Linked DNA regions of Mus musculus. The protein of the gene in region 2 interacts with the protein of the main gene of each other region in a biochemical or structural test. Links are inferred from orthologs where the notes say so. Each region holds a gene or a part of one and is shown on either strand. Other genes may lie near its edges.

Evidence for each region. The genes of interacting proteins can lie anywhere in the genome.
Region 1: the proteins of Hsp90aa1 (region 2) and Ptges3 form a complex in vitro, tested with the Homo sapiens proteins (10 studies listed by BioGRID). The link is inferred for Mus musculus from reciprocal best matches to the Homo sapiens genes HSP90AA1 and PTGES3.
Region 3: the proteins of Hsp90aa1 (region 2) and Cdc37 form a complex in vitro, tested with the Homo sapiens proteins (3 studies listed by BioGRID, with this or other methods). The link is inferred for Mus musculus from reciprocal best matches to the Homo sapiens genes HSP90AA1 and CDC37.
Region 4: the proteins of Hsp90aa1 (region 2) and Usp19 form a complex in vitro, tested with the Homo sapiens proteins (3 studies listed by BioGRID). The link is inferred for Mus musculus from reciprocal best matches to the Homo sapiens genes HSP90AA1 and USP19.
Region 5: the proteins of Hsp90aa1 (region 2) and Ahr form a complex in vitro, tested with the Homo sapiens proteins (2 studies listed by BioGRID). The link is inferred for Mus musculus from reciprocal best matches to the Homo sapiens genes HSP90AA1 and AHR.

The regions. Positions count from the first base shown.
Region 1 is NC_000076.6:128,057,724-128,061,781, forward strand, and holds the start of Ptges3 (prostaglandin E synthase 3), read left to right. Parts: upstream 1-1,258; 5' UTR 1,259-1,561; coding exon 1,562-1,563; intron 1,564-4,058. UniProt on the Homo sapiens protein: Cytosolic prostaglandin synthase that catalyzes the oxidoreduction of prostaglandin endoperoxide H2 (PGH2) to prostaglandin E2 (PGE2).
Region 2 is NC_000078.6:110,690,536-110,693,395, reverse strand, and holds the end of Hsp90aa1 (heat shock protein HSP 90-alpha), read left to right. Parts: coding exon 1-84; intron 85-228; coding exon 229-376; intron 377-523; coding exon 524-792; intron 793-948; coding exon 949-1,282; intron 1,283-1,746; coding exon 1,747-1,856; 3' UTR 1,857-2,360; downstream 2,361-2,860. UniProt on the Homo sapiens protein: Molecular chaperone that promotes the maturation, structural maintenance and proper regulation of specific target proteins involved for instance in cell cycle control and signal transduction.
Region 3 is NC_000075.6:21,147,135-21,151,307, reverse strand, and holds the start of Cdc37 (hsp90 co-chaperone Cdc37), read left to right. Parts: upstream 1-1,373; 5' UTR 1,374-1,450; coding exon 1,451-1,552; intron 1,553-4,173. UniProt on the Homo sapiens protein: Co-chaperone that binds to numerous kinases and promotes their interaction with the Hsp90 complex, resulting in stabilization and promotion of their activity. Inhibits HSP90AA1 ATPase activity.
Region 4 is NC_000075.6:108,497,176-108,500,675, forward strand, and holds part of Usp19 (ubiquitin carboxyl-terminal hydrolase 19), read left to right. Parts: intron 1-720; coding exon 721-861; intron 862-947; coding exon 948-1,066; intron 1,067-1,266; coding exon 1,267-1,404; intron 1,405-1,504; coding exon 1,505-1,818; intron 1,819-1,919; coding exon 1,920-2,030; intron 2,031-2,118; coding exon 2,119-2,335; intron 2,336-2,416; coding exon 2,417-2,569; intron 2,570-2,674; coding exon 2,675-2,835; intron 2,836-2,915; coding exon 2,916-3,094; intron 3,095-3,500. UniProt on the Homo sapiens protein: Deubiquitinating enzyme that regulates the degradation of various proteins by removing ubiquitin moieties, thereby preventing their proteasomal degradation. Stabilizes RNF123, which promotes CDKN1B degradation and contributes to cell proliferation.
Region 5 is NC_000078.6:35,532,190-35,536,188, reverse strand, and holds the start of Ahr (aryl hydrocarbon receptor), read left to right. Parts: upstream 1-1,199; 5' UTR 1,200-1,565; coding exon 1,566-1,627; intron 1,628-3,999. UniProt on the Homo sapiens protein: Ligand-activated transcription factor that enables cells to adapt to changing conditions by sensing compounds from the environment, diet, microbiome and cellular metabolism, and which plays important roles in development, immunity and cancer.

The sequences.
Region 1 (4,058 bases), on a different chromosome or scaffold from region 2:
TCGAATTTTGAGGGAACTGGAGTTAATGGTTCAGCAGTCAGAACACTGGGTGCTCTTAAAGACATAGGTTCTATTCCCAGAACCTACATGGTTCACATGATCTAGTTTCAAAGGATCTCAGGCCCTATTTTTGACCTCTGTGTGGGAATCAGGCACACACACGGTACACATACATAATTGTTGACAGAATACTTACATCACCTCGGGAAAAAATGGAAATTTGAAACAGGGAAGTTGCCCACACTACCAAGTTGTCCCAGCTCCTTCAGCTGAGATTACAAGCCTGTGACACTACACCAGACTAATTTTCATTTCCCTGACAGGTGGTAAAGTTCTTAACATCAGGCAATTGGATCTGGACTATACAGCCAACATCACCAATTAGTCTGCACTGACATCAATATCAAAAGAAAAAAGCCTGTAATACCAGCACATAAGAGACTGAAGCAGGATTACTCTAAAAACCTGATGTCCTAATAGTGGCTCATTGGTCTACCTCTGCCCTAATCCGTCAGTTTTTGATAAGCAGAGATTGTTCTTGGCTACTAACCCCATTTAACCCAGGGCATTGTATACAAAACCAGTCAAAGGATTTTCAAATAGATCCTTAACCACCTCATCTGAACTCACGCAAGGAGACAGCGAATTAATCTAGAAACTTCCCTCCTCGCCTCCCCCAGGGCGCCAATGTCTCCAAGCAGGGGGGAGAGGCGCGCCCCTAAAGGCAAAGAGGCAAAAGCAGCTCCTCCGCTAAAGGAGCCCAGGCGGGATCCGGACAATCAGAAAAACAGCGAGTGGTCCAGGCTTTAAGGACGAAGCCGTTTTTCCACGGATGCAACCGGCGTTGCCGGGCGTGGTGGCTTTGGCACAGGACTGCAATCCCGGACTCGGGCGACTGAACTCGAGGCCAACCTGGGTTTGCGGCAGGCACCCCTGTCTAAGACAAAACAATCCCCACACATCGCCTTGGGGTCTGCTGTATACGCCGCAGCGTCCCACCGCCTTCCAGGGCGGCCCCTACGTCTCTCGGGGAGATCGCCCGCGAGCGTGCTCAGGCGGTTGGCGGCCAACGGCTTGCTAACGCGAGACCGGAGCCCGGGAAGACAGGCGCGAACGGGGCAGCCGGAGGGTCGAGGGGAGGGGCGGGCGCGGGAAGGATCGCGAAGGAGCCGGGAGGCCCCGCCCCTTCCGTAGAGATCTCTAGAAAACCGCGCAGAGCCTGGAAACGGCGATTGCGCACGCGCGGCGGCCGGCCCGGGCATTTTGCTGCGTCACCAGCCGCCGCCCGGCCTCGCCACCCCTCGCGCGCACGCACGCTCCTTCTCCGTCCTCGCGCCCCTTTTCCTACACTTTCCTTCTCTCCCGGGTTGAGGGAGCCGCTCTCCGCGCGGTGCATTCTGGGCATCGAGGCCGAGCCCGCCGCCGCCGTCGCCTAAGAGGAGCGAGGAGAGGCCGCGACCGGGCAGAGACCGCCGGAGTCGCCGCCGGAGAGGAGTCGACTCGCCAGCCGCCGCCAGCGAGGCCCGCCCACCCGTTTGTCTGGCCCTCTGCCCCGTTCACCATGTGAGTGCGACATCCCGCCGACGGAAGGTCGTCCCGGAGCGGAGCGAGGCCGCGCCGGGAGCCCCGGCTGCCGGGAAACGGCCCCTCGCCCTCCCCCCACCCTCGGCCCTTCGCCTTTCTCCCCGCCCGCGCTGGTGGCAGCCCTGCCGTGGGGTGGGAGGGCCTGCATCCTTGTTCCTGTTACCGTTGGAGGACATTTTTCCTCCAGATGTCCGTTTCCCCACCTCCAGATCGACCCCCGGATTCCTCGTGCCAGAAATCCCACTTTTCTTCCCTAGACAGCCTGGCTCTCTCGGAACTCTGGGAACTTAGCCTTAGGCCCTAAACTCGTGTGTGAGCTTTCCGCCATGAGGGCGCCGGGAGCCGTGGAGTCCTGCCGCTCGGTGCTGATGCCCGGACCCGGCAGGACCGGGCTGAGAGCATTTGTGGGTGCCGCCGTAAGCCGGTGCTACCGGTAGGGCACCACGCGGCCCTCGGCGGCAGGCACTGCTAGGCAACTAGAGGGGGCCATGCCGTCACCACAACGAAACTTCCCGTTCCCACATCTCGGGTCTCTTGAAAATGGTGAACGCTAGCAAATGCGGTCACCTCCTTGGCAGCGAGTAATAGTTACTATGGAGCAGGTAGTTCTGCACGTGTCTAGTCACAAGATACTTGTGGACTCTTTTCTTCTCTGTACCTCAATAAACTTTGGGTGGCATTTCGTCATGCTCTTTGTATGCGGAGGTGAAACAGGTATAAAATGACCATCTCACTTGCCTGAAGGTCTTAATTTGTTTATATGGAGGTTACAGATTCTTTTAATCTAAGAATTTTTGCCCTTATTTTTCTAGCCTGGACAACTTTCAAATATGAGAGAATTGAATTACAGTACTTGAGGGTGGTGTGGGTGGCTGCTATGCACAGCACTAAAAGTTACGGATTGTAGTTGAAAAAAAAAGTTTAACGATTGTACAAGTTTAAGTTTTAACTGCTTGCTTGAATGGCTAAAAATCTAAATTGATAGACGATGTCCTAGAGCCAATTAGTGGCTGAGAAACAGGTCCTAGAAGAAGACCATGTAGTACTAGAAAATGTGTAAAGAAATTTGGAGGAGTCCCCCATAAAAACAAAGATATGTAGCAGGTTTTACATTTTAGTGTTTCATTATAGTAATTTTATTCATGTGTGTGCCCTCCCCCCACCCCCTCGTGTTCCTGGAGGTAAGAGGACAGTCTGTGGGGAAACAATTTAAGTTGTCAGGTAGAGAAACGGAGAGCCTTCACTTGCTTAGCCATCTCACCAGCATGGATTTAAATTTTACCTTTGAGATGTTAAGAAAAAGCTCTTGTGTGTGACTGACCTGTATTCTGATGTCATGTTGGCTTCTTAGGACAAGTTTATGTAAAAACTTTTTGATATTTTCCAAACTGTACGGGGAAAATGAATTGCTAGGTAAAACATAATCAATTTAGTAGATAAACATAGCCAAACGAAACATCTTTTCATCCAGAAGTAGCAATTTAGGAGGTAGAGAGACTGCGCAGTGATTAACAGCACTGGCTACCCTTGCTGAGAACCCAAGTTCTATTACCAGAACCAACTGCCTGCTGAGAGCAGAGGTGTTAGTTCTGAATCTGGAGTTAGAGGCAGTTGTGAGCCACCCTGCTTGGGTGCTCTTGTAGAAGCAAGAGCAGTGTGGTGTGGATGTTTTGTCTGTATGTTTGTGTATCATCTGCACTGCTAGAGGCCAGGCCTGAAGAGAATGTTGGATACCCTGGAGCTAGAGGTTTGTGAATCACCATGTGGGTGCTGGGGCTAGAACCCTGGGTCCTCTGGAAGAGCAGCCAGCGCTTTTAACCCTTGAGCCATCTTTCCAACCTTTGTGTGTGTGGGTGCTCTTGTTTGTTTTTGTCTGTTTTGATTTTTAGGTTTTTTTTTTTTTTTTGGTTTTTTGAGACAGGGTTTCTCTGTGTAGACCAGGCTGGCCTTGAACTCAGAAATCCGCCTGCCCCCTGAGTGCTGGGAATAAAGGCGTGCACCACCACGCCCAGCTTTTTTTTTTTTTTTTTTTTTGAGACAAGTTCTCCCTGTGTAGCTCTGGCTATCCTGGAACTTGGGCTGGAGATACACCTGCCTCTGCCTCCCTGAGTTCTAGGATTAAAGGTGTACAACTCCTGATCCTATTACCTTCTTTAAAGGGATTGTTTTTTGAGAAAGCGTCTATGCTGCCCTAGGTGGCCTAACCTCCCAATATGTGGGAGGATCCCCCTTGAACTCCTACTCTTTCCCTCCACTTCCTAATTATTTGGGATTATAGGTGAACCCAATAGGATTATATATTGGGATTATATAAGATCAAGGCCAGATAGGTCTATATAGTGTGCACACATCTCATTTATTTTTGTTTTTTGTGATGAGGTTTCTGTGTGGACCAGGTTTGCACCATTGTGCACATTTTGAAGAGGTCAGATACCTGGTCTTTTTAAAATGGTCATTCTACAGGGTTAAAGAGG
Region 2 (2,860 bases):
AAATGCTTAGAACTATTTACTGAACTAGCAGAAGATAAAGAGAACTACAAAAAGTTTTATGAGCAGTTCTCAAAAAATATAAAGGTTGGTGGTACATTTTCTTGTTACTGGCAGTTTTCCAAACTAACTTGATTGGGGGAGGGGTCCTCACACACTTGCTTCTGCCTCCCAAGTGTGGGGATTAAAGGCTAATGCTTCATAAATGGCTTTCCTGTGCTTGTGCTTCAGCTTGGAATTCACGAGGACTCTCAGAATCGGAAGAAGCTTTCAGAGCTGTTGCGGTACTACACATCTGCTTCTGGGGACGAGATGGTTTCTCTGAAGGACTACTGTACCAGAATGAAGGAAAACCAGAAGCACATCTATTTTATCACAGGTAATGGTCAAGTAAACAGGTGTTTTCTCTACCTGTTGGACAGCACTTAAGGAGGCAAGAATGTCCAGCCTGTACCTAAGGGAAAGCTGAATACATGAAACCATTTCTAAAAGTAACTTAACAATATAAATATATATATTGTCTCAGGTGAGACCAAGGACCAGGTTGCTAACTCCGCCTTTGTGGAACGTCTCCGAAAGCATGGCTTAGAAGTAATTTATATGATTGAGCCCATTGATGAGTATTGTGTGCAACAGCTGAAGGAATTTGAGGGCAAGACCTTGGTGTCTGTTACCAAAGAAGGACTGGAACTTCCAGAAGATGAAGAGGAAAAGAAGAAACAGGAAGAGAAAAAGACAAAATTTGAGAACCTCTGCAAAATTATGAAAGATATTTTGGAGAAGAAGGTTGAAAAGGTATGTGAATGGTTACACATCACTCGTAGTCAGTTTGGTCCTTTTATCTGAGTTTTGACTAAATCACTGCTAATGCCTACAGTTTCAAATAATCATTTCTTTCTGGTAAGTTCTTCTATGGCCTAAGCCATCACTTAGTTTTTGTTTTAATTTTAGGTGGTTGTGTCAAACCGACTGGTGACATCCCCGTGCTGTATTGTCACAAGCACATATGGGTGGACAGCAAACATGGAGAGAATCATGAAAGCTCAAGCCCTCAGAGACAACTCAACAATGGGTTACATGGCAGCAAAGAAACACCTGGAGATAAATCCTGATCACTCCATTATTGAAACCTTAAGGCAAAAGGCAGAGGCTGACAAGAATGACAAATCTGTGAAGGATCTGGTCATCTTGCTGTATGAAACTGCACTCCTATCTTCTGGCTTCAGTCTGGAAGATCCCCAGACCCATGCTAACAGGATCTACAGGATGATCAAGCTTGGTCTAGGTAAATTACAGGCTACCTGTAACTAACATAAGGGAAAGAAACCTGTTGCAACTCCCCTTTAATCCTAGTGCTGGGGTCAGGGTGTAAAGGGACAGATAGGCCCTTTGAGTTTTAGGCCAGTGTGGCCTACAGAGTTCCAGGAAAACCAAAGCTATATATACTAACCCTGGCTTTAAAAACAAAAAAACGAAGTTGACTTTTGTAGCTATTGAAACAATTGGATTATTGCTGTTATGGAAGCCTCAGCTAAAGGGTTTGAATGAAATGAACAGTGACCTTTGTGTTTGAGGATGGCTTTGGGCTGGTTCTGCCTCTGTCCCAGTGCTGGGGTTTATAGGCACATACTTGGCTTGCCCCCTATGAATAAAGTTTCCTTTCAGGGGATTGGATGGGGTGTTAATGTCTAAAGCAAGTCTCCGCCTCCCTTAGCGGACATTAACTGTAACATTTATTTCCAAAACAAGGTATTGATGAGGATGATCCTACTGTGGATGACACCAGTGCTGCTGTAACTGAAGAAATGCCTCCCCTGGAAGGAGATGACGACACATCACGCATGGAAGAAGTAGACTAAGTCACCAGAACTATGTGTTTGCTTACCTTCATTCCTTCTGATAATATATTTTCCATGATTTTTGTTTATTTTTGTTAACATTTAAAACATCTGTGTGGCATGAAAACTAAGGGGAAGATAAAATTTCTACATGTGATACTGTGATACTATAGGTTTAACTCAAGAGGTTGATAGAGCGTTTGTTATAAGACGTAACGTAACCTACTGTTCATGTTTGCTCTGGTCTGAAGTGTTTAGCTGTTGAGCTGGATTCCTTAGGAGACCAAATTAAGATGGCTTAAATTACATCTTAAAATTTTCATTTCCTGTAGTTAATTCTGCATGTATTAGTCTTAGAAGTAAACACAAGTTAAAACAACCTGACAGGAATTCCCCAAGTGGCTTGTTTTCCAAAGTCCCGAGAACAACCCTAAGTTTCCTAGGTCTTGTAACTCAGCAAGGCTTGTGAATGGAAATAACAGTGCCCAATCACATTCTGCTTTAAAAGATAAATACAGAGGAGATAAAAAGAAGTGTGGAATGTGTCTTTTCTTTGCGCACCCCCACACACACACACACATTTGATCCATAAAAATTACACTGGTCCAGAGACTTAATCTTGTGTGTCCTATATGTGGACATCCTCTCTTCCCCAGCACACTCAGACCTTCTTGCTAGAGTGGGAATATAAAACAGCTGGTCTGTGGGGTTCTGGGATTTTGTCCTAGCACCTCTTAGATAAAGGCATGTTTGAAGACTTGGCTGGGTAGTTTGAGGCCAGCCTGAGTTCCATGAAATCCTGTCTTGGAGGCTATAAGGAAAAATAGTGGGTATTTACTATAGGGGGCAGGTAAAGAGCACTAACCAAAGCCGGGCGGTGGTGGTGCACGCCTTTAATCCCGGCAGGCGGATTTCTGAGTTCTAGGCCAGCCAGGGCCATAAGGAGAAACCAAACCAAAAAAAAGATTGGGTTGTAGGCGGCCCTATAAGACATTAATAAGTTGATGAGCTCATTGTAGGTGGTG
Region 3 (4,173 bases), on a different chromosome or scaffold from region 2:
CAAACAAACAAACAAACAAACAAATAAATATTTTTTAAAATTTAAGGGCAGATCTGGTGTAGTGGGGCACACCTTTAGCCCCAGCACTGGGGAGAAGAGGTAGAAAGATCTGTTAGTTTGAAGTCAGCCTGGTCTACATAGTGAATTCCAAGACAGCCAGAGCTGTCTTATATACAGTGAGACTCTGGTGGGGGTGGGGGTGGGGTGGGAATTAAGGGCAAACATGATTAAAAAAAACAAATTGTATATTAATGTTTTGTCTGCAAGTATATCTGTCCACCACATGCATGCCTGGTGTAGTCAAAGGCCAAATGGGGACATAATATATATATCCTGGGTTGGACTTACAGATGGGTGTGAGTGGCCATGTAGGTGTTGGGAACAGAATCCGGGTGCTCTGGAAGACCAGCCAGTCTCCAAACTATTGAGCCAACTTTCCAGCCTCAATTTTGACTTTTTTTTTTCCATTTTTTATTAGGTATTTAGCTCATTTACATTTCCAATGCTATACCAAAAGTCCCCCATACCCACCCACCCCCACTCCCCTACCCACCCACTCCCCCTTTTTGGCCCTGGCGTTCCCCTGTACTGGGGCATATAAAGTTTGCGTGTCCAATGGGCCTCTCTTTCCAGTGATGGCCGACTAGGCCATCTTTTGATACATATGCAGCTAGAATCAAGAGCTCCGGGGTACTGGTTAGTTCATAATGTTGTTCCACCTATAGGGTTGCAGATCCCTTTAGCTCCTTGGGTACTTTCTCTAGCTCCTCTATTGGGAGCCCTGTGATCCATCCATTAGCTGGCTGTGAGCATCCACTTCTGTGTTTGCTAGGCCCCGGCATAGTCTCACAAGAGACAGCTACATCTGGGTCCTTTCGATAAAATCTTGCTAGTGTATGCAATGTTGACTTTTTTTTTTTAGAGTGTTGTTTGTATAACAACCCTGACCGTCCCTAAAATTACTCTGTAGGCTAGGCTGGCCTCGATCCGCCGGCCTCTGCCTCCGGAGTACTGGCATAGCGCCACTACCGCCCAGCCAATTTTGACTTTTTGACAGTGTCAATATGTAGCCCTGGCTGGACTAGAACTCCTGGAGAGCCACCTGCTTTTGCCTCTAGCGTACTTGGATTACCGTGGGCCACCACGCCCAACGCGACTAACCTTTTGTTTCTAAAGGATGGTCAGTCTGGTTTCGGCGGGAACTTCCAGAAGGCCTCACCACATACTCCTGGCCCTTTAAAGAAGACCTCCGGTTGCCAATGCCGCCGACTCCCGTTGCTAAGGACGTAACGTCCCGCGCCGACGCTGGGGCGGGGCCGTCCTGCGCGGCGCCCTGGGCGGAAGCGGAAGGGGCGGGGCTCGCCGAGCGGACTCTCTAGCCCTTGTGGGTCCCTGTTCAGCGCCCGGCCGTGTGGAGCCCCGGGAGCCAGTCCGGGCCTCCGAAGCGAAGATGGTGGACTACAGCGTTTGGGATCACATCGAGGTGTCGGACGATGAGGACGAGACGCACCCCAACATAGACACTGCCAGCCTCTTCCGCTGGCGGCACCAGGTGGGGCTGTGCGCGCTCATCCCCTTCCCCCCCACTCCCGGGACCCCCCGCTCTAGAGTTCTGACCTCTTCCCCAGGCCACCTGGCGTGGGGGCGGGGGAGACCTTAGTTATTGACATCTGGAGCCGCCTGCTCCACAATCTAGACTTTTCTCTTTCTTTTCTTTTCTTTTTCTTTTTTTTTTTTTTTGAAACAAAATTTCACTGTGTAACCTTCCCTGGCCTAGAACTTGCTGTGTAGAACAGGCTGGTTTCTAACTCACAGTGATCCTCCTGCCTCTGCCTTCCCAGTACTGGGATTAGAGACATGTGCCTTCATGCAGGGCCGGACTTTTTAATTCCATCCCAGGACTCCTGGCTTCTTCACCGTAATTCTTGACCTGTATCTCCAGGCGTTCTCTCTGTGCTATGGTTCTCTTCTGTTTGTAAGTTTATTTATTGTGTGTGTTCCCGTGTGCACGTGGCACAGCATGCCTATGGTGATCACAGGATAACTTGTAGAAGTTGGGCCTCTCTTTTCACCATGTTGGAACTGGCTGTGGAACTCCAGTCGCCCCACGTTGCCACAAGCACCTTTACACTCTGAGCCATTTTATCAGTTGGTAATACTTTAGTCAGAGTCTTGCCTCTCCCCATCCCCAAGCTGACCCTTGTGTGTAGGGTCCCCACTATCCTGTGCAGAACCTTCTGTTCTTCCTCAGAGTCTGGACCCCAGGTTCTGTTAGGTGATCTCATAGCCCAGCCACGCACCCACTTCATATTGCACGTCTCCCTTCTGCCTCTCCTCACTACTTAGAGTCTGGAGCCACAAAACTTCTGACTATGGCATCTATTTCCCAGGATCTTAGGCATGAATTTCTATTAAAGGCCCAGAGACGACCCCCTCCCCCCCCAACTTCCAAACTAAATGAGCCCTTAATTTAACTGTCAATCTTAGCTTGCAGCTGGGATTCCCCAGTCCAGGATCCCTTTCCCTGGGTTATAGACTTGAGTCCCACATGGGACATACCTGTAGAGCCCCCTTATCCTCTGTATTTGACCTCCATCTCCACTCTTGCCCATCATTCAGTTCCAGTGGCTCTCCTTATTCTCACCTCCTGTAGACTCTTATTTCCTGTTACTCCAGGAAACCCCACCCACCTAACTTCCTGTTAGAACCTCTGCTCCTTCTAGTATAGTAAGTAGACCCTCTCCTTCCCACCTTGGCTCCTATATGAACTGTAGCCATCTTTGAAAATTCACCAAACCAGGAGCCAGATGATGATGACACACATTTTTAATCCTAGCTCTCAGGGGGCAGAGGCAGGCAGGCCTGTGAGTTCAAGGCCAACCTGGTCTACAGAGAGTTCTACAGCTAGCTAGGGCTACACAGAGAAACCCTGTCTGGAGGGATGGGGCCGGGAGTCGGGTAGGATAAAGAGAGGGGGGAGGGGAGGAAGAGAAAGAAAAGACAGCTCACCAACCCAGAAAACCAAGCCTGTCCTGTCCTACCTGCCCGTTCCCTCCAGCTTCATCTGTCTCTCTCCAGGGTTCAGAGCATCCTAGTTAACTCTGGACCTCCCAGATAATGTTCCCACATAACCTTACTTTCTGAGCATGGTAGCACACCTGTAAACTCAGGTCTTAGGAGGAGGACGAGGAAGGAGGATCTGGGATTCAGAGTCAGTCCTCGATATAGGGCAAATTCTAGGCTAGCCTGGACTACATGAGACAATATCAAAAACCAAATGGGCTGGAGTTCAGTTGTATGGCATTGCCTTGGGCTCCATCTCTAGCACTGCTTAAAAACTAGCCATGGTGGGGCAGGCCTGTAGTCTGAGCACTGGGGAGAGGGAAGCAGGAGGGTCAGAAGTTCAAAGTCGTCAGCCACGGTAAGTGTGAGGCTGGCACAGGCTACAGGGGATCCTGTCAACCACCAAGCAAATAAAATACAGTCCTCTGCAGTTTTACATCTCTCCAAAACAGACGCCCCAGATTGAGACCTTAGAACCCCAAGTGTGAGCAAGCCATGCTCTTGCCCCTCCCTTGTGCCATCATTACCTGCAGGCCTGTAGCATACTACCAAGATGTGAGGGTGGCCTGGATGTGTGGTTCAGTGGTAGAGTACTTCTCTAGCGTGCAAGAGGTACTGGGTTCCAACTCTGTCGCAGCAGTAAAGAGACAATGGCCTAACCTGCTCCCCAAATTAAAACTTCTATACCCATATACCTGTGTGTCTTATACTCTTTGTTTAAGTTACATCTTAATTTTTTTGTGTGTGTTAATTCTTATGTATGTGTGCCGAGGTATCCTTGTGGCAGTCAAAGGATAACTTGATAGAGTCCACTTTCTCCTTACATGTGGGTTCTTGGGATCAAACTCAAGTCATCAGGCTTGGTAGCAGGCCTTTTCCCACTGAGTCCTCTCATTGGCCCCTGTGCTTGTTATACTCTCAAGCTGAGGGCAGGTACTTTCCATTTAGGAATTTTGCATCTCACCTTCTTGGGGAAAACTTCTCATTACTCCTAGAAAGTCCTTCCCCATCCTCCCCAAATCCAGCATTCGGCTCCCAGTCCCACCCACACACCTATTCCTTCCAGTTTCCTGGGAAGACCACCTGCCAGGCAGCAGTGTGTGGCAGCAG
Region 4 (3,500 bases), on a different chromosome or scaffold from region 2:
CCTTCCCAGGCTTCTGCATGTGTGGCCATGTTTGTGAGGTTGTAGTTGTTTGTGTTTTGTTCTTTTAAACATTTTTATGAGTGTTGTGTCTGCTTGTCTGCATGTATGTGTGTGTAGTATGTTATGTGCCAGGTGTCAGGTTAAGGGTGTTGAACCGCATGGAACTTGAGTTATAGACAGTTACAAGCTGCCACGTATTTGCTGAGAATGGAACCCAGATCTTTTGGAAGAATAGTCGGTGCTTGTAATACTGAGCCATTTTTCCAGTTCCACTTATGTATTCTTTTTTTCCTTTTCTTTTTTTCTTTTTCTTTTTTTCTTTTTTTTTGAGACAGAGTTTCTCTGTGCAGCCCTGGCTGTCCTTGACTCACTTTGTAGACCAGGCTGGCCTTGAACTCAGAAATCCGCCTGCCTCTGCCTCCCAAGTGCTGCACTTATGTATTTTTTTCTTCTCTGGATAAGGCGTTTGCTAGTAATCCCAGGGGTAGAGGCCCTCCGTTCCTTATGGAGGGTCAGTGAGGTTGATGCCTGCTCAGGCTTTGTCTCAGGTTCTCTAAAGTGCTTTCTGCCCCAGGGCAAGCATATTCCTCTTTTAGTCCACATATCATGTCCTGCCCCATCTCAGTAGACTCCAGTGCAGGACTAAGCCCTCCGTGGTGCCGTGAAGCAGAGCTGGAGAAAGGTCGCACCACATGCCATATGTGTGTCCTTTCTCCCCAGGTAATTAAGAACCGTTTCCACCGTGTTTTCTTGCCCTCCCACTCACTGGACGCTGTGTCCCCCACGGACGTGCTCCTCTGCTTTGAGCTGCTCTCCCCAGAACTGGCTAAGGAGCGGGTAGTAGTGCTGGAGGTGCAGCAGGTGAGTGGGGCCAGCCTGATGCCACAGGGCCCTGGTGGGGGCAGTCACTGCTGCCTGCCCTTGCTGAGCCAGATGACCCACCCTAGCGCCCCCAGGTACCCAGCATCCCTATCTCCAAGTGCGCAGCCTGCCAGCGGAAGCAGCAATCAGAAGAAGAAAAGCTGAAGCGCTGTACCCGTTGCTACCGTGTGGGCTACTGCAACCAGTGAGGAGCCCCATGGCTCTCCCCTCCTATTTTCTCTACCTGCCTTTTGCTTTCCTGTCCTTCTCAAGCCCTCCACCCACTTCTCTGTTTTATTGGGCCTTGGGGGAGGCAGGGCTGGCATACCTAGTCCCCAAGGGCATCAGACAAGTCCCTGATAATATAGTTACAGCACTCAGGGCTAACCTTTTCTTTCCCTCCAGGTTCTGCCAGAAAACCCATTGGCCTGACCACAAAGGCCTCTGCCGCCCTGAGAACATTGGCTACCCCTTCCTGGTCAGTGTGCCTGCTTCACGCCTCACTTATGCCCGTCTTGCTCAGCTACTAGAAGGTTATGCCCGGTAAGAGCCCAGAGGCTGGACTGGTATACACAGGGAGCAGGTGTTCCAAGTGTGACACCAGTGGGTCAGAGTTCTTACTTGCCTTGCTGTCTGCTGCCAGGTACTCTGTGAGTGTATTCCAACCGCCCTTCCAGCCTGGCCGCATGGCTTTGGAATCGCAGAGCCCTGGCTGTACCACGTTGCTTTCAACCAGCTCTCTGGAGGCTGGGGACAGTGAAAGAGAACCCATTCAGCCTTCTGAGCTCCAGCTGGTGACCCCTGTGGCTGAAGGGGATACAGGGGCTCACCGAGTATGGCCGCCTGCTGATAGGGGTCCTGTGCCTAGCACCAGTGGACTCTCTTCTGAGATGCTGGCCAGTGGGCCTATCGAAGGTTGTCCCTTGCTTGCTGGTGAGAGGGTATCTCGGCCTGAAGGTAGGATCTGCTAAAATGCTTTGGGTACTGCACTGAAGTGTTGGGAAGGCTGTTCCCACCAGAGTGGACAGGTGAGCACTGATGAGTGTGCTTTGTCTTAGCTGCTGTGCCTGGGTACCAACACTCAAGTGAATCTGTGAATACCCACACGCCCCAGTTCTTCATCTATAAAATTGATGCATCAAACCGTGAGCAGCGGCTGGAGGACAAAGGTGCCTGATGCTGTGGGTGGGAGTCATAGGGTAGCTTGTACCACCTGCTCTGCGCAGCTATGTGACCATGGTCCCTGCTTCTCTCTAGGGGAGACACCATTGGAGCTAGGTGATGACTGTAGCCTGGCTCTGGTGTGGCGGAACAATGAACGCCTGCAGGAGTTTGTGTTGGTAGCCTCCAAGGAGCTGGAATGTGCTGAAGATCCAGGCTCTGCTGGTGAGGCTGCCCGTGCTGGCCACTTCACCCTGGACCAGTGCCTCAACCTCTTTACACGGCCTGAAGTGCTGGCACCTGAGGAGGCCTGGTGAGGATTGGGCAGCAAGCAGGTAGTTGACCATGGTGGAGGGAAACTTGCTGCTTCTGACTCCTCCTCTGTCGCTCACAGGTACTGCCCACAGTGCAAACAGCATCGTGAGGCCTCCAAACAGCTGCTGTTGTGGCGCCTACCGAACGTGCTGATTGTGCAGCTCAAGCGCTTCTCCTTTCGTAGTTTCATTTGGCGAGACAAGATCAATGACTTGGTGGAGTTTCCTGTTCGGTGAGCAATGAGTGAGGCCTGCTGACTGTGGACAGGGCACAGGTATCGGGGCAGCCTGGGCTCCCGCCAACTAACTGCCTCACCCTTCTCTGACTGGGACTACAGGAACCTGGACTTGAGCAAGTTCTGTATCGGTCAGAAAGAGGAGCAGCTGCCTAGCTATGACCTGTATGCTGTCATCAACCACTACGGAGGCATGATCGGTGGCCACTATACTGCTTGTGCACGGCTGCCCAATGATCGCAGTAGCCAGCGCAGTGACGTGGGTGAGGGCACACACAGCCAGCAGGATAGGTGGTAGGGTGGTGGTCCAGGCCGTGTTCATACTCTTCCCACCCTGCTCTAGGCTGGCGCTTGTTTGATGACAGCACGGTGACAACAGTAGACGAAAGCCAGGTCGTGACGCGCTATGCCTATGTTCTCTTCTACCGTCGTCGGAACTCTCCTGTGGAGAGACCCCCCAGGGCAAGTCACTCTGAACACCACCCAGACCTAGGCCCTGCAGCTGAGGCTGCTGCCAGCCAGGTGAGGCATTGGGGAGGCCTAACAGGTTAGTTGGGGGACAGAGTTGGGGCCTTCAGGTCTACAGAATTTATAGACTGGGTTCTTCGACATTCAGGTCTCACCCAGAGACATCCTGGAAGATAGCCTAGGGACACAGTCAAAGGTGTACATATATATAAACACGATGCCACCAGTGTGCACAAAAGAATAGGTCAAAGACTTACCCTGAGCACACCAGGCACCGTGCTTTATACAGACTTAACCCTGTTGTCCCCTGGCTCTCCCTCATAGTCTCCATATGCTGGCCTCGAGCCCATCGTTTGTGGTCACCCTCCTGTTCTGATGTGTATTTGAGATATTCCCTATCAGAGATGGCTGCTGCCTGGATTGGCTGTCACACTCTCTGTGGTGAACAAATGTCCCTACT
Region 5 (3,999 bases), about 75 Mb from region 2:
AGTTCCACAGTGGCTGGACCAGTTTACAACCACCCACAGTGATGCGGGTTCTTCTTCCTCCACAGCCTGGGCACCATTTGTTGTTCTTAGTTTTCTCGCTATCCTTTTCCTTGCTGTTGTGTATCCTCTCTTCTGATCTCTTTCTCAAATCTATAAAACACATCAGACTTCATCTCTATCTCTTCATGTCCAGCATCACCTACCTGACTCCCAAAATTCACTTCTCTGCCTCTATTCTTTGGTGGTTAACAGCGACCTTCCCTCTTCCTTTATCATCTCTGCTGTCTCTTTTCTCTCATCCCCATGGCTGTGCCATTGGTCTTGCAGCTGGTCGATTTCATCAATTTCCCAGCGATTCTCTCTTCCATCTGTTTTGTTCCTGAGTAACAGAATTTCCACCTTTTCCCACAGTGACTTTCCCAAGAAAGATGGAACATCATCTTCCAAATTACGCCTTTAAAAGCTCTCTGTTGTCTGCAGAATGAGACCCAATTTCTTCATTAAATCTTTATGATTTGTTCCTAGATTATCTTTTTTTTTTTTTTTCTTTTTCCTCCCATCAGCTCTACCGTACTACTAACAGAAACTCAGGTCTCTGGTCATAGTCTCAGTACCTACCCTCCAATTTCTCATGCTCTCAGCACTCCTGTGCTTCTTTCCTTCTCATCTTCCTGAAGTCTGATGGAGGAAACGATGTTTTATTGTCTTCTGTAGACATAAAATAAATGTGGGAGGGAAAAGGATTATAAAACTCGTAGCCTTCAAGACAACTAACTTTGCAGGGCATTTTTGAAGTTTTCCCCTTAGAATGCTCTCCAGTCGCAGTTATTTATCTACCAGCTCAATGTAAAATCTTTGTCAAAAATTAGATGACTCAACTCTAGGATGAGCTAAGCTCTTTGCCTGGTAAATCTTGATGTCTGGGTTACAAGGAATTTGCCTAGGCATAATGTGGCCTCACACCCCTTTTGAGGCTGGAAAACAGGTACTGGGCGAACACCACCCCACCCCCAGAACCTCGGACTGCAAGAAGTGTTGGGAGTCACTACGTCCTGCGTCATCACGTGCTGCGAAGAGGGTGGGGCCCTCCTGGGAACCGTGAGGGGCGGGGCCGAGCAGGTGGGGCGGGGCTGGAGCCCGGGGCGGAGCTGCGCGGGGTCGCGGCTGCGGAGGAGCGGGCTCGCGGCGGGCGGCAGCGTGTGTGTGCGCTCCCTTTGACGCTCGGTGCCCCACGCGTGTCCCGGAGAGGCTCAGCCCGGAGCGACCCGGAGGACGAACTGGTGGACGGACTCGGGGGTGGCTGCCAGGCAGGGTTGTGAGCGACGCCGCGGCACAGCGCGGGAGCCGGGAAGCCCTAGAGCACTGCGGCCCCTCCTGACCCTCGGGACCGGGCGCGGCTAGCGTGCGGGTTTCTCCTCCGCGGCCAGCTCGGGCAGCCCGAGTCTCCTCTGTCGCCCGCACCTGCGCGTCGCGGTCGTCCCGCCCTCGGCGGCGGCTCACCTGGGCGCAGCGCGGGCAGGGCGCCGCCTCCGGGACGCAGGTGGAGCGGGCAGGGCGCGGGCACCATGAGCAGCGGCGCCAACATCACCTATGCCAGCCGCAAGCGGCGCAAGCCGGTGCAGAAAACGTGAGTGACGGCGGGCAGGCGCGCTCCGAGGGTGCGGGAGGTCCCCACGCGTGCCGCCATCCAGGAGCTGAGTCTCAACCAATGCGTTAAAAAAAAAAAAATCCTGCTTTCAGGCACCTGCACCTTTACTGCTCAGCGACCTTCCCTGGCTGGTTCGTTGACAGCTCTGACCTACCTAGTGCCGCTCTAGCTTAGTTAGTTAAGCTTGCCTGGAAATCCTCCACTCTAGATCTCCGCTGCCGTGAGCTTTAGGGGACACGGAGGATAAGTAGACAGCTCACTGAGGTGAGATGTTGGGCAGAGCTAAACACGTGTTGTCTTGAAGGAGGGGACCTGTGCCTTTGAAGGAATGTCTTTCTGTTCTTAGCGCCTAGCTTTCTGTTTTGCTCTCTCATTTACTTCCTAGGCAGCAGTTCTGCAGGGCTCGGTGTAGGCGCAGAATTGATAGCAGGTTGGAGTGTGCAGTGGACAGGTGCCCTGGCAGCTTGGTGGCATTCTTAGCCACTCTTTGGTGCAGTTTTCTTCCTCCTTTTGGAGTGCTTTTGGGTCTGTAAAATTTTAAATCATTAAGAAGAGGAAAAAGAACTAGACTGACTTCTAAGTTATTTCTACTCTCTACCTGTAGTTCATTTCCCCTTGCTTTTTTTTTTTTTTTTTTTTTTTTTTTTTTTTTTTTTTTGCCAATTCTGACAGAGATTACAGGCTTTGGTCTTTATTTCCATGGGCTATTTGTATGAGATGGGAGATTTTTTTTCCCCCCTCAGAAAAGAGATTCATGATTGAGACAGGGTTCCATTTAGGAGTTGTCTGTATTGATGCATTCATTCATAATTACCTTGGAGTTTCCACATCTCACCATTTGTTATTTTTTTAAAAAAATAAATTATTTTAGGAACACTTTCAGGCAATCAGTAGTGTGTGTTTTGCTTGAAACATGACAGCTATCACCAAGTGAACCAAAAAAAGAAAACAAAAACAACAAAAAAACCAACTTAAGATTTATACACTGTTTACAAATAGTTACTAGCTTAGAAGTTGGGTTATTTGTGGATTTTAATTCCCCTTAAGAATTTCAACTGTCCTAGTTCCTCAAATCTTGACTTACAAATTAATATTGAGAGGAGATGTCCATGTGTAAATAGTTTGATCAGAATTTGGAAGTTTTATGGTTGGTACACTTTAAAGGACGCAAATGTCGTTGACTCAGCAGTTTTCTACCCCGGCAGTTCTTTGGACCCTGGCTTTCAGTGCTTTAGTATTTTGTAGGACGGTTTCTTTTTGTTAAAACATGTTTGCTCAATTTGACTTTGTTCCTGGCAGTTACAGTTTCCGAGGCTTTCAAGTGCTTGTTCCCTGTTTTCATTAATAGTAATACTAACTCAGTATGAGATGAAAAATCTCAGGTATTATGTACATGGGCATAAAACTTGGAGCTCCGCTTGAGTGTCTAAGTCTAAGTAACTGATTTTCCTTATGTTATTTAAGGACATAAACTGCTTTCTATACAAAGGTCACCATCTTAAATGTTATTCATTATAACGGCGAGTGCTCTTAGTTTCTAGTTAATATAGAGAGCTTCCTTTTTAACACGACAACACTTCCTTTTAGATTAAGTTACACCTTTTATTATATTGTCTCACTATTTGCATTTGATAATTTCGGACAACTAAACTGTTGTCCCCACGAACTTATATTTTATTTTATTTGGTCCTTGACTTCTGTTTATCAGATCTGTACTGAACACCTTTAATCAACTCTGAGCCTTCAAATGCCTTAAAGGTCACCAGCTTGCTTTGTCGAAGACTTTAGTGCTGGCACTTAGGTCCTTTAGTGAAAGTACTTACGTTGTCCCCCCTGAACAGAAAATAGTGAGCTGTATAATCACATAATCAAAGTTCACCCTTAACAACCAGGTCACCAAGCTTTAGTATGAGTCTTTAAGTTAAACTACTTAGCCTGTGTGCAATGAGGCCCCAAATACCTCAATTTCAGGAAAAAACACAAGTGTTGACTGTGCTTTCTAATTTAATTAACTTGTACCCTTTAAGGTATAGCTGTTTTATACGGAGCATACCCATTGTAATTCTAGTGTCGAAAAATGTCATATTTAAATATACAGTTCCGTGAAAATTTGGAGTAAAGTGGGTGACATGATTTTAACCCGAAGTTCTTTCAGTCTTCAAATGAGGATCTAGATGCAAAATAAGCCCCCTCTAGTGGCCGGTCCCACCATGACAGTTATCTGTAGAAGGAAATCAGTTTGAAATGTGTTCAATTCCATCCAAGGACAGTGTTTTGTATACACTACACTGTGAATAGCTGTTTCCTCCTTCTTCAGTGCAATGAAAGTTAGGAAATTAAGAGATCCTAAG